4 linked regions of the Saccharomyces cerevisiae S288C genome follow. Each later gene encodes a partner of the first gene's protein in a complex. Each region holds a gene or a part of one and is shown on either strand. Other genes may lie near its edges. The genes, in order: MRPL1, MRPL9, MRPL44 and MRP20.

The links.
Region 2: MRPL1 (region 1) and MRPL9 share a complex: the UniProt entries of both Saccharomyces cerevisiae proteins name them as parts of the mitochondrial large ribosomal subunit.
Region 3: MRPL1 (region 1) and MRPL44 share a complex: the UniProt entries of both Saccharomyces cerevisiae proteins name them as parts of the mitochondrial large ribosomal subunit.
Region 4: MRPL1 (region 1) and MRP20 share a complex: the UniProt entries of both Saccharomyces cerevisiae proteins name them as parts of the mitochondrial large ribosomal subunit.

The regions. Positions count from the first base shown.
Region 1 is NC_001136.10:682,224-685,124, forward strand, and holds MRPL1 (mitochondrial 54S ribosomal protein uL1m MRPL1), read right to left. Parts: upstream 1,359-2,901; coding exon 501-1,358; downstream 1-500. Other genes in the region: YDR114C (uncharacterized protein), read right to left, coding at 1-3; mitochondrial 54S ribosomal protein bL34m MRX14, read left to right, coding at 1-269; TMA64 (Tma64p), read right to left, coding at 1,723-2,901. UniProt on the Saccharomyces cerevisiae protein: Component of the mitochondrial ribosome (mitoribosome), a dedicated translation machinery responsible for the synthesis of mitochondrial genome-encoded proteins, including at least some of the essential transmembrane subunits of the mitochondrial respiratory chain.
Region 2 is NC_001139.9:935,574-938,745, reverse strand, and holds MRPL9 (mitochondrial 54S ribosomal protein uL3m MRPL9), read left to right. Parts: upstream 1-1,862; coding exon 1,863-2,672; downstream 2,673-3,172. Other genes in the region: TOS2 (Tos2p), read left to right, coding at 1-1,622; exportin CRM1, read right to left, coding at 2,951-3,172. UniProt on the Saccharomyces cerevisiae protein: Component of the mitochondrial ribosome (mitoribosome), a dedicated translation machinery responsible for the synthesis of mitochondrial genome-encoded proteins, including at least some of the essential transmembrane subunits of the mitochondrial respiratory chain.
Region 3 is NC_001145.3:720,460-723,402, reverse strand, and holds MRPL44 (mitochondrial 54S ribosomal protein mL53 MRPL44), read left to right. Parts: upstream 1-1,999; coding exon 2,000-2,057; intron 2,058-2,204; coding exon 2,205-2,443; downstream 2,444-2,943. Other genes in the region: TATA-binding protein-associated factor TAF7, read left to right, coding at 1-790; ORA1 (oxidoreductase), read left to right, coding at 1,007-1,810; MRE11 (MRX complex nuclease subunit), read left to right, coding at 2,750-2,943. UniProt on the Saccharomyces cerevisiae protein: Component of the mitochondrial ribosome (mitoribosome), a dedicated translation machinery responsible for the synthesis of mitochondrial genome-encoded proteins, including at least some of the essential transmembrane subunits of the mitochondrial respiratory chain.
Region 4 is NC_001136.10:1,275,982-1,278,937, reverse strand, and holds MRP20 (mitochondrial 54S ribosomal protein uL23m MRP20), read right to left. Parts: upstream 1,293-2,956; coding exon 501-1,292; downstream 1-500. Other genes in the region: DNA-directed RNA polymerase II subunit RPB7, read left to right, coding at 1,769-2,284; DIT1 (Dit1p), read right to left, coding at 2,726-2,956. UniProt on the Saccharomyces cerevisiae protein: Component of the mitochondrial ribosome (mitoribosome), a dedicated translation machinery responsible for the synthesis of mitochondrial genome-encoded proteins, including at least some of the essential transmembrane subunits of the mitochondrial respiratory chain.

The sequences.
Region 1 (2,901 bases):
CATCTATATCTTCTTTCTCTGCTCTATCTGTGTTACGCCCACAAACCGGTATGCTCTTAAACAGTTCACCATTGAAGACTCCGTCCTTCACACCGTTGGGATTTGGCTTAATAGGTCAAAGAAGATGGAAATCAAGGGGTAACACCTATCAACCTAGTACATTGAAACGGAAGAGAACTTTTGGTTTCTTGGCTAGGGCCAAGAGCAAACAGGGCTCTAAGATATTGAAAAGGAGGAAGCTCAAAGGTAGGTGGTTTTTGTCTCATTGAAATTTCACATACTATTCAGATAAATTTGAATACTTCTTGTACATAGGTATCTAATGATTATGCAACATACACTTTCACTATTATTCAAAAATAAAAGAGCAGTTACTTTATTCCACTTTAAAAAGACGGTTACTTTGTATGTACATGATTTTATATAAAAAGAAAGAAAATGCACCAGTATATATATATATACAATTAAAAAAGTCCAACAAGACAAAACTGATTCGCTGATTAAGCAAAATCGATTACAATACCGGGGCCATGTGTGCTTGATAATGTGGTTTTACTCAGTATATTTGGTTTCTTAGATTTTTGATTATCAACAGCAGTTTTAAATGCCGCTCTAGCGGATATAATGTTTTGTAAAATTTCTCGATCAGTGAAGTAGCATTTGCCGACTCCAATGCTGATAGAGTTTCCCCTTTGCCTGAAAGGCATAGATCCTAGACTTTCTTGAAGTAAGGAGCTTATATCATCACTCACCGTACCTTTTTTGACAGAGGGTAAAACCCCACGAGGACCAAGTATCCTGGCCACCTGCGATTGTAAAGCTGGAACAATATCAGGAGTTGCAAATGCTTTGTCAAAATCAACGCTAATTTCACCGCTTTTAATTTTGGCAACAAGATCTGCTCCGCCAATCAAATGATTTGGGTATTTCTCACGAAGCTCTTCCAATTTACTTTCGTCGTTGGTAAAGGCAGCAATTTTGATATATCTCAAAGGCTTAGGAAATGTCACGCTACCGGATAAAGGCGCTGTACCTCTTTCACCGACTACCAATGTAGTCAAATTAATTGTCTGTTGCGATTGCGGTCTGCCAACTTCTGCTGCGCGTAAATATCTTAGTGCCTTTGTAACAGGCATGTACAATGGGCTTGCTGTAGCTGGTCTCTTTGCCTCGGCCTTTCGTTGTACCAATCTTTTCAACTCTCTTTTTTTGGCTTGGTCTTTTGTTAGCGAAGGTGCATTGGAGGACATAGCTGCTGGTTTATAGTCATCTGCGTATAGTTTTTTTGCAGTATGAAAAAAGCATCTTCTTGCAGGACCTGTGACACATATTTTCGGGATCGCTACTACGGATAGCATCTTCTTTGATGACTTATCACTGTTTAGTTTTCTTCAAATTCCCTTTATTTCAGGTCGTTTTTCAAAATACTTTGGTTTTTCGAAAGTTTTCTCTTTTCGCTTAAAAAGGAGATTTTGTCGCTAGTCTCATAATGTAAGTTACACTAAAAAATAGAGAATAGTAAAGATGAACTGGATATACAAATATAGTATATTTTTACCGCTGTTGAAAACATTTCGTTCCCTCCCATGATACATTCATATTTTTTGTGGGTTTCAAGACTACCATAATACCTACTTTAGAAAAGCTTCGATTAGGTAAAAAAGTTCTATATGCTTTGATGTCGGGCATTTTTACGCATTTAAACATTTATATGATATAAATCTACTTTCTTTTTTTCTTCTTCAACTTGTTCTCAAAGTCTATCCATTTGCTTGGAATACCTAGCTTGTTAAGGTGATCAATGATCGATTGACCGTGTGGACCTTGAACCTGCACTTCAGCACATTTGAATGTTTGTGATTCACTTATTGTTGTCGATCCGCTACAAATCTTTCTTAAGTCAGCCGCAAGTGATTCTGGGTCGACTTGAAACACTTCAAAATTGCTCACTCTGGTAATAACTTTTCTGCCAATTTTCATTTCAGTAATAATCTTAATATGCGGAAGGGAACCCTTCATTGGCGCCTTGAACAAGAGAGTATCATCGCTTTTGAATATCTGATAGAACTCGGTAAAATTATTGGTGAGTAAGGGATGCAAAATTTCACCTCTAGCAATGATACGTGAAGCATTCAAGACTTTCTTCTTCTTATTGACCATATCGAATAATAGATCGTCCATAATAACTTTTCCTTTATCTTTTGTGTCTGCTAGGTTCTTGACAGAAATATACTGAGAAACCGCGCTTCTAATGTCCTGAGAGGTGTAGTACGTGTGAGAAGCCAAATTAACCTCCTTCAAAAGATCTTTGGCAAGATTAAAGGGTTTATACAGAGTCAGTGAATACATCATTCCAGATGTTTTCTCCTTCGAGGTTGTGCTCTCCCTACTTTCTGTGGCAGACTTGCTACAACCAAGCTTATATGGCACAAAGTTCTTTAACTCATCCTTGTCAGTATTTTTGCCCACAATAGTTAAGTCATCCCCCTTTCCTTTTAATTTCAAGAAGCCTTCTTTCTCGAAGTGTTTCAAAAATTTTGCGCTTTTTTTCCATGAAGTTTTCTTTACATTGACTTCATTGTGATCAATTGGAGGCAAATTACGCATAATGTGGTTTGAGATGAAGTTAGAAGCTGAAATGGGTAATTCCAAACCTTTATCTTGAGTCAAGGTATAATATAATGCTCTTGTAATGAAATAATCTACATCCGACACAGTGAAATGGTCTAGAACTTCAGCAATCTCCTCTACATCAACAGACGCTTCTTTTACATCTTCTTGTTCCTTTTCAACAGCCTTGATTTGCTCCGAGGATTCTATCTGTTTACTACTGATATTGTTATCCTTTGATTGAGTACTGAGAACAAATGGAGGTTCCAATTTCATTTTAAAGACTTTGGA
Region 2 (3,172 bases), on another chromosome or scaffold:
TATACTATTTACCGAAGATGGATTCTTCTATGAATTCTGCAAACTCAGACAGCAATGCCACAGAAAAGAGGTTTATTTATGGTGGTTATGACGATTTTTTGCAACCGTCAATCGAAAACTCACAATCTTTCAAAGATTATGTGAGGCGTATCAATGAGCATGCACCCTCCGCTTATAATATTGCTTCACTGGCTTCGCAGAATAACAGCAAGTTATCGGTCCCCTCCAAGCACATTGACCTTTCGAATAAGATTTCTTTCGAATCGTTAGAGAATTCTGAGCTGATTGTTTCACCACAACACTCAAATACTGGGCAAGACTGTGATCAAAGATGTGATAGTACGTCAAATCCTGATGTAAATGAAAAGTCCAGCCATAACAACGATAATCGACTTAAATCGAATTATACGAGTCGTAGCGGGCTCGAGCCTCAGTGTTCGAGAGAGGAGGAAGAAAATATTGACAGAATAAGAAGCATTTATAACATTTATTTTGAGAAAAGTAATAGCACGATACGATCCTCTGTAACTTCTTCGATACGGCGTGACTCTAAATTAAACATCGCTACAAGAAAAAGTGTAAATATGAGCTCTCAAGACAATCCAAATGATACTACATTAATTGAACAGAGTCACTTCGGAAGTACAACTGTCCAAGAAATTGATTCCAGTTCCAGCGCCAATGAGGAATATGAAGATGCAACTGATTATCTGCAAGTGCCGGCACCACAAGAGAATAAAAACATTGCATCGTCAGTATATTCAGAAGTAGCAACCAGAGAAAAAGTGATTCCCGAATCGTCTCTATCTCTTACATTCCCACCACCGAATGGTCTTTCAACGAGAATTACCTCATCAATATATTCTGACACGGTCGCTAAGGACCATATTCACTCTGCAAAGGCTCCCGTACGGGCCCTTTCGGAGGGTTCGGGTCAGTCAAATCTTACTTCTGCTCAGCAATATTCTACATATTTTATAGATCACTGCAACCAGAGCAATGATGACAATTACTACTATAATTATCCCCTCCCGTTAGAACATCCTCAAAATTATGAGAACATCGGAGATTTGCCCACGCCTACCCAATTCATTTATTCCACCTCTTCGCATTCCTTGACGTCATTCAAAGGAAGGCCTAAACCTCCAAAAACACTAAAACATGTACCTACAGCTAGGCTTAATGGGACAGCGTTGAATCCAATGGATCATCCTGAAATGTTTTACAGTTCGCCTACGAAAATACCGTCAACATCTTTGACAAAGCAATTTTGTACGCCCCTTCCATATCAGCTTAGACAAAGTGTTGTTATGACCAACCCATCAGAACTTTCTATGAAACCTCGCTATAAGCCTGCAGGATCTTTAAGAAATTTAATAAAGGCCCAATATCTCCCTGGTAACTCATCCACTACAACATCATCTTCTTTATCACAACCGCCGTCAACGTTGTCAAATGCAATAAATTTCCGTGTTAGTGGGTTATTGGATGACACTGACATCTTGCAGCCTCCTAGTGTGGGGGAAATCTTACCTTTTAAAGCTTCTACGGAAGACTTAAGGAAGCAACTGGGCACATCCCATAATTACGAAATAACACCGTACGAGAATGTACATGTATAAATAAAATTCAAAATCATGAAATGTTGTAACAGTAAATAAGCACCATAAATTCGTTTCTCGATGATCCTCTTCTTTCCTTAATTGAAATGCTAATGCCATTTCTCCTATTACAGTCGCGAGATATTTGTTTTCGGGTAATCCCTTGTCAAACGAACTTTATTGAAAAATATATGGACGATAAATTGACAACTGGGACGAGAAAGGGCAACTCTTTGAAAGCAAGAGAGAACAAATATAGCCATGTCGAAGTTCCTACAGGGATCAATATTTAGCATATCAAAACTTCATGTTAGATATTCTTCTACTCGGCCTTTTCTAGTGGCTCCTAGTATTGCTAACAGTATAACAACCGAGGCTCCAGCGATTAATCACTCACCTGAACTGGCAAATGCGAGAAAATGGCTACCAAAAAGATGCGGTTTAATTACTCGTAAGAAGGGAATGATGCCTTATTTTGATAAATCTACTGGTGAAAGAAGCGCCGCTACTATATTAGAAGTTAATAATGTTGAAGTAATAATGCATAGAACTTCGGAGGTCAATGGGTACTTCGCGTGTCAAGTAGGGTACGGATCAAGGCATTTGTCTAAAGTTAGCAGACAAATGCTTGGTCATTTCGCTTCTAAAGTTGTTAACCCAAAAGAGCATGTGGCCGAATTCCGAGTTAAAGATGAAAAGGGATTAATACCACCTGGCACATTATTGAAACCCTCTTTTTTCAAAGAAGGCCAATATGTTGACGTCAGATCAGTCAGCAAAGGCAAAGGTTTTACTGGTGTGATGAAAAGGTATGGATTCAAGGGTTTGAGAGCATCTCATGGTACATCTATTATGCATAGACACGGTGGTTCTTATGGTCAAAACCAAGACCCAGGTAGGGTACTGCCAGGAAGAAAGATGCCTGGTCATATGGGAAACGAGCATGTTACTATCCAAAATGTTAAAGTTTTGAAAGTCGACGATGAAAATAATGTTATTTGGGTTAAAGGCTCTGTGGCTGGGCCCAAAAACAGTTTCGTTAAAATTCAAGATGCAATCAAAAAAACTTGAGCATAAGGCGTATAAGTATTTTACTACAATCATGTACATACATCAATAATAACAATAAAATGGGTAATCACTTAAGAATCTTCAAATAATATTCTTTACTTTTCCATGAAGTTGGCTAAATAGTATTTAGTACTATATTAGAGTATTGGAACTTTGAAGAACCAATTTACATACAATATGAAGTGAAAAAGAAATGAAAACCCCGTGGTTATAAATTAGAGACTAGTTAATAAAAGGGAAAAAATATTGGAAATTTAAAGAATGATACGCCACCGCCTCTAATCATCAAGTTCGGAAGGTTTTAATAACCCACCAATCTTGGCAGCTTTTTCCCTCTCTAGTCTATTCTGTTCCATTAATGCATTCTCTTTATCTTCAGCAAACAAATAATCTGTTGGATCACCTCCGACTTCTTTGATTTGCACCAAAAAGTCCCTCAAAGTGCCTTTGAAGACCACTAAGTCTTTGTATTGTTTAGTTAATGCAGAGAGAAAACTTGC
Region 3 (2,943 bases), on another chromosome or scaffold:
TTTCAAAGAGGAGCCTGGAGAGCCTTTATCTAGACCTGCTTTAAAGAAAGAAGAGATACACACAATTGCTTCGGCAGTAGGAAAACAAGGTGCAGAAGAAGAGGGAGAAGAAGGAATGGAAGAAGAAGAAGAGGAGGATCTTGACCTAGGCGCTGCTTTTGAAAGTGAAGAGGAAGGTAGCGGTGCCGAGGGAGACAAGGAGCAACAACAAGAGGAAGTCGGTGATGAGGTGGATCAAGACACAGGCGGAGAAGATGATGACGATGATGACGACGGTGACATTGAAGCTGCTGGTGGGGAAAGTGAATCTGATGACGAAAAAGACGAAAACAGACAGCACACTGAATTACTTGCGGACGAATTGAACGAACTAGAGACCACCCTGGCCCATACCAAGCATAAATTAAGTAAAGCCACGAATCCTCTTTTGAAAAGCAGGTTCATAGATAGCATTAAAAAGCTCGAGAAGGAGGCTGAACTAAAACGTAAGCAGTTACAACAAACCGAAGATTCTGTCCAGAAACAACATCAACATCGCTCTGACGCAGAAACTGCAAATAACGTCGAGGAAGAAGAAGAGGAAGAGGAAGAAGAAGAGGAAGAGGATGAAGTGGACGAAGACGAGGAGGATGACGAAGAAAACGATGAGGACGAGGATAATGTGCATGAACGGGAACACATACAAGAGAACAAGGTGGTGCGCGAACTTGATGAAGCCCCCGCAGAGGAAACACTCGACCAGAACGATCTCGATATGATGATGCTATTTGGTGCAGAGGGTGATGAGTAAGTTCTCTTTATCATCTATATATTACTCTTATACACTATACGACTCTACTCTATGACGTATAGCATTGATATATATTAAGGCACGACACCGATTTTTCTTATCGGAGCGATATAAAAAGCTGAAGAAAGGAGGATAGATGAAACAGCATGGCGCATAGAAAGTGTTCAAGCTCACTAGTAAAGGCGGGAAATAGAACATTGAGAACGTATTTTGATAATGTCCCAAGGTAGAAAAGCTGCAGAAAGATTGGCTAAGAAGACTGTCCTCATTACAGGTGCATCTGCTGGTATTGGTAAGGCGACCGCATTAGAGTACTTGGAGGCATCCAATGGTGATATGAAACTGATCTTGGCTGCTAGAAGATTAGAAAAGCTCGAGGAATTGAAGAAGACCATTGATCAAGAGTTTCCAAACGCAAAAGTTCATGTGGCCCAGCTGGATATCACTCAAGCAGAAAAAATCAAGCCCTTCATTGAAAACTTGCCACAAGAGTTCAAGGATATTGACATTCTGGTGAACAATGCCGGAAAGGCTCTTGGCAGTGACCGTGTGGGCCAGATCGCAACGGAGGATATCCAGGACGTGTTTGACACCAACGTCACGGCTTTAATCAATATCACACAAGCTGTACTGCCCATATTCCAAGCCAAGAATTCAGGAGATATTGTAAATTTGGGTTCAATCGCTGGCAGAGACGCATACCCAACAGGTTCTATCTATTGTGCCTCTAAGTTTGCCGTGGGGGCGTTCACTGATAGTTTGAGAAAGGAGCTCATCAACACTAAAATTAGAGTCATTCTAATTGCACCAGGGCTAGTCGAGACTGAATTTTCACTAGTTAGATACAGAGGTAACGAGGAACAAGCCAAGAATGTTTACAAGGATACTACCCCATTGATGGCTGATGACGTGGCTGATCTGATCGTCTATGCAACTTCCAGAAAACAAAATACTGTAATTGCAGACACTTTAATCTTTCCAACAAACCAAGCGTCACCTCATCATATCTTCCGTGGATAAACCTAGCTAAACTAAGTAAATCTGTATACTTTTTATACATGTAAGACTTTTTAGCTATTTCATTCTTCCCTGAACCGTTTTGCGCGATTCTACGGAATATACCGGCGAAATAAAAGAGATAAACTTATGGATCCTCAAATAGAGGATGAACAGATGTGAAGAAGAAACGAGCTTAATTATATCTTCGCCATGATAACTAAATACTTCAGTAAGGTAATTGTCAGGTTTAATCCCTTTGGCAAGGAAGGTATGTATTTTTTTTCGCTCTGTTATTCGTTCTCCTTACCTTTGGCCATCATGATTTAAAGATTTGGCTAAACTAGGCTGAGGTAGGCTCGAACCGATCTATCACAAATACTAACAGCAAATGATATGGTCATATCATTGATTTCAGCGAAAGTTGCTAGGTTAGTACTTGCTGCCATTCCACCAACGCAACGAAACATGGGCACGCAGATTCAATCGGAAATTATCTCAGATTACAATAAAGTCAAGCCTCTTGTGAAAGTAACCTACAAGGACAAAAAAGAAATGGAAGTCGATCCATCAAACATGAACTTTCAGGAATTAGCCAATCATTTCGACCGTCACTCGAAACAGCTGGATCTCAAACATATGTTGGAAATGCATTGAGAAAATAAAGGCATCTACAAATCTCATTGTAGGCATGCACGTTTCTAATATTCTAACAAAAACAAAGTCAGAGTTCACAAGCAAGCCTGTAAATAATATATATGCAATTACACAAACGTATAGATAGATATACCCAACCAAACTGACTTAAGGTTTAAATAGTATGGCCAATCGAATAGAACCCAAACATTATAGCCATATTAAATTACTCTTTACGCTTGTAAGGAAGACAATGTGGAAACAACATTAAGAGAATGCAGACAATTGACGCAAGTTGTACCTGCTCAGATCCGATAAAACTCGACTATGGACTATCCTGATCCAGACACAATAAGGATTTTAATTACTACAGATAATCATGTGGGTTACAACGAAAATGATCCCATTACTGGCGATGATTCTTGGAAAACTTTCCATGAAGTCATGATGCTGGCCAAAAATAACAACGTAGACATGGTTGTACAGTCCGGTGATCTTTTTCACGTGAATAAGCCTTCCAA
Region 4 (2,956 bases), 590 kb from region 1:
TAGCAGTATTCTTTTCCCTCATCGTCTTACCATCGTGCCATACCTTAACCCCGGCACCGTGCGTTGCAGATCCGCCCCTCGCGGACCCGCTCGAGACTCTCCGCGGAACGAGCATGCGGACGGCTCCGCGCCACTGTCTCCGCAGGCATCCGTGCATGGCATCCCGCGGAAGCGACCCTGAAAATAATAAGTAAAGCAACCAATGTTCTTGCTCTTTGCGCGAACAAAAATAAAAAAAGAACAGAAATACAGGCCACCTTCCAGGGCAGGGGAAGGGGATGCCATCATCATTCTTTTCTTCCGTAAGGCATGTTCTACAGCCACTTCATATATTTTTGCGTTTGTTGCTCGGAAAAAGTAATGTTCTTAATTTTCTTTCTTTTTTTTTTTTTCTGTTTAGAGATTATGTAGTTTGCTCCGTATATACAAGTGTGAGGGGTGCAAGATGCTTATCTGGGTATTTGCGTGTGGGTTAACGAAGGGGTGGAATGGGAAACCTTCTAATGTAGATCTTCTATGTACCTGTTCAGGGCAATTAGTTTATCTGCGCGCTGCAGTTCGGCGGCGTGACGCTCTCGCTTATTGTCTATCTCTCGTTTTAAGAAGCGAGGTATAAAAGGCTGGGCCACCCGTTCGTAAGGCCCCACGACTCCGTCGAATGCTGTGCCGGGTTTGTTGGCGTCTGAGCCCAAGCAGTTAAGTCTTTCTTCACGGTACTTTTCCATGTTGTCAGGCGTGGTGCTGTCCCAGAAGGAGTTTTCGTCCGGACGGGGTTCTTCGGGCCAAATGAAGGGTTCTTCCATCTCGATAGTCATTTTCTTGATCTGCGGTTCTCTAAACCGCGTCGTCTGTAGGTTCATACGGTTAAACTTCCCATGAAGCAGCTGCGTCGTAATGTTCATTGCTCTTAAGCCGTAGATATGATAAAGATAGTCTCTGAGATCCAGTTTGTTGAACGATTTTGGGACGATGAATTTTGCTTGATACGGTGTGTGCTTCGCGTTGGGCCTCAAGAGGATGATCCTGGCCTTGGGAAAGTAGACTTTGTTACCTCCAACTTTGAAATGCTCCTTTCCCTGCTCTATGCCCGCCTTTGTCCACTTATAAATCTTCTCGCTTACGTTTATATCTACTTCGCGATCGCTGCCGCTTTTGTCGAGTATTTTGGAGGAACTCTCCACCACTGAGGCTAGTGATCTTATTGGAACCTGCTCTGGCTTGCAACTTCCTACTGCAAGTGTTTTTTGCAAAGGATACAACATATTCTTCGTTCCAACCGTCAATCGTGGCATATTCTGTGTTGGTGTTGCGTACTTTTTATTTTTATTTTATTTTTTTTTCTGTTGGAGCCTGCTAATCAAAGCACATTATTTGTTAGTAGCGTTACGTTCTCCACAAGAAATGTATGTACATTTCAAGTTCTAATACCATCGTTTTCCCTTTTTCATCGAGAAAATTCGTATAACGCGATTACGTATTAAGTGATCTTCTGTGGGTTTCAACGGCTATTTTGAAAAATACAAGGAAAATAAATGCGGTATTCCTATATCCCAGTGAAAATGCCAATAACGTAGACAAGCTCACTTCGTCGATTTATTCTCTAACATTGGGTCGATCAGGTCTGTCCACCTATCTCTTCTCCCAGAATATCATAGCCTTTCTTTTTCCGTTTCTCCTCCTACACCATTCTCCTTTGCGATTAGACAGTGGGAAAGTCCAAGAATAGATTCACATTTCAACCACTGTATAAATAACTCAATTTCTGAGAATGTTTTTTATTAAAGACCTTTCGCTTAATATTACCCTTCATCCGTCCTTTTTCGGTCCTCGAATGAAGCAATATCTAAAGACAAAACTATTGGAAGAGGTTGAAGGTTCGTGTACGGGTAAATTCGGATATATTCTTTGTGTCCTAGACTATGATAATATAGATATTCAACGTGGGAGAATATTGCCCACAGATGGGTCCGCCGAGTTCAACGTGAAATATAGAGCTGTAGTTTTCAAACCATTTAAAGGGGAAGTAGTGGACGGCACAGTCGTTTCATGTTCTCAGCACGGGTTCGAAGTGCAAGTAGGTCCAATGAAAGTATTTGTGACAAAGCATCTGATGCCTCAAGATTTAACCTTTAATGCGGGTTCAAACCCACCATCATACCAAAGTTCCGAGGATGTCATCACCATAAAAAGTAGAATTAGAGTTAAAATTGAAGGTTGTATCAGTCAAGTGAGTTCTATTCACGCAATCGGTAGTATCAAAGAAGATTATTTGGGTGCTATTTAATCACTTGTTACTCCGCAACGCTTTTCTGAACGCCCGCCTTCGCCTTTCATTATCATTCTCATCCCAAAAGAACTGTGCATGTTATTTGCAATACTTCATATACGCTCTGTATTATTAATAGTATCATTAATTACGTCAATTGAAATTCAAAATATCATCTTTGACAGTAACATCTATCCTCTTAGACAACTAGGGCCATTGCAGTGTCTCGAAACCATTAATATCACTGAAAAGATGAAAAGAAAGGCAAATATATATTGATCACTAATTTTCTAAGCTAAAGAATCTATTCCCCCTCTGTTAAATGGAATTGTGTGAAATAAAATATTATAAAATCAGAACTTTGGGGGGGAAACATAAAAAAATGAGAAAAAGAAAACGAACTAACTAATGTTTAAGTAAAAGAACAAAAAGGTAGACCAATGTAGCGCTCTTACTTTATTAAGAGATTTTCTTGATAACGAAATGTCCTCCTTCTCCAATATCGAAACGAGTATCTTTCCATACACCATCATACATACCCTTTTCGAGAGCCTCCTTGACTACTTTTGATTTTGTCAAAAAGTATTTCTCCTTTTCATCCTCAACCTTCACGACACAATTATGCCAAGGTGTGGGAATATGTAAAAAATCTTCAAATTTGGGTTCATCAAGGTCTTCTAACGAACTAAC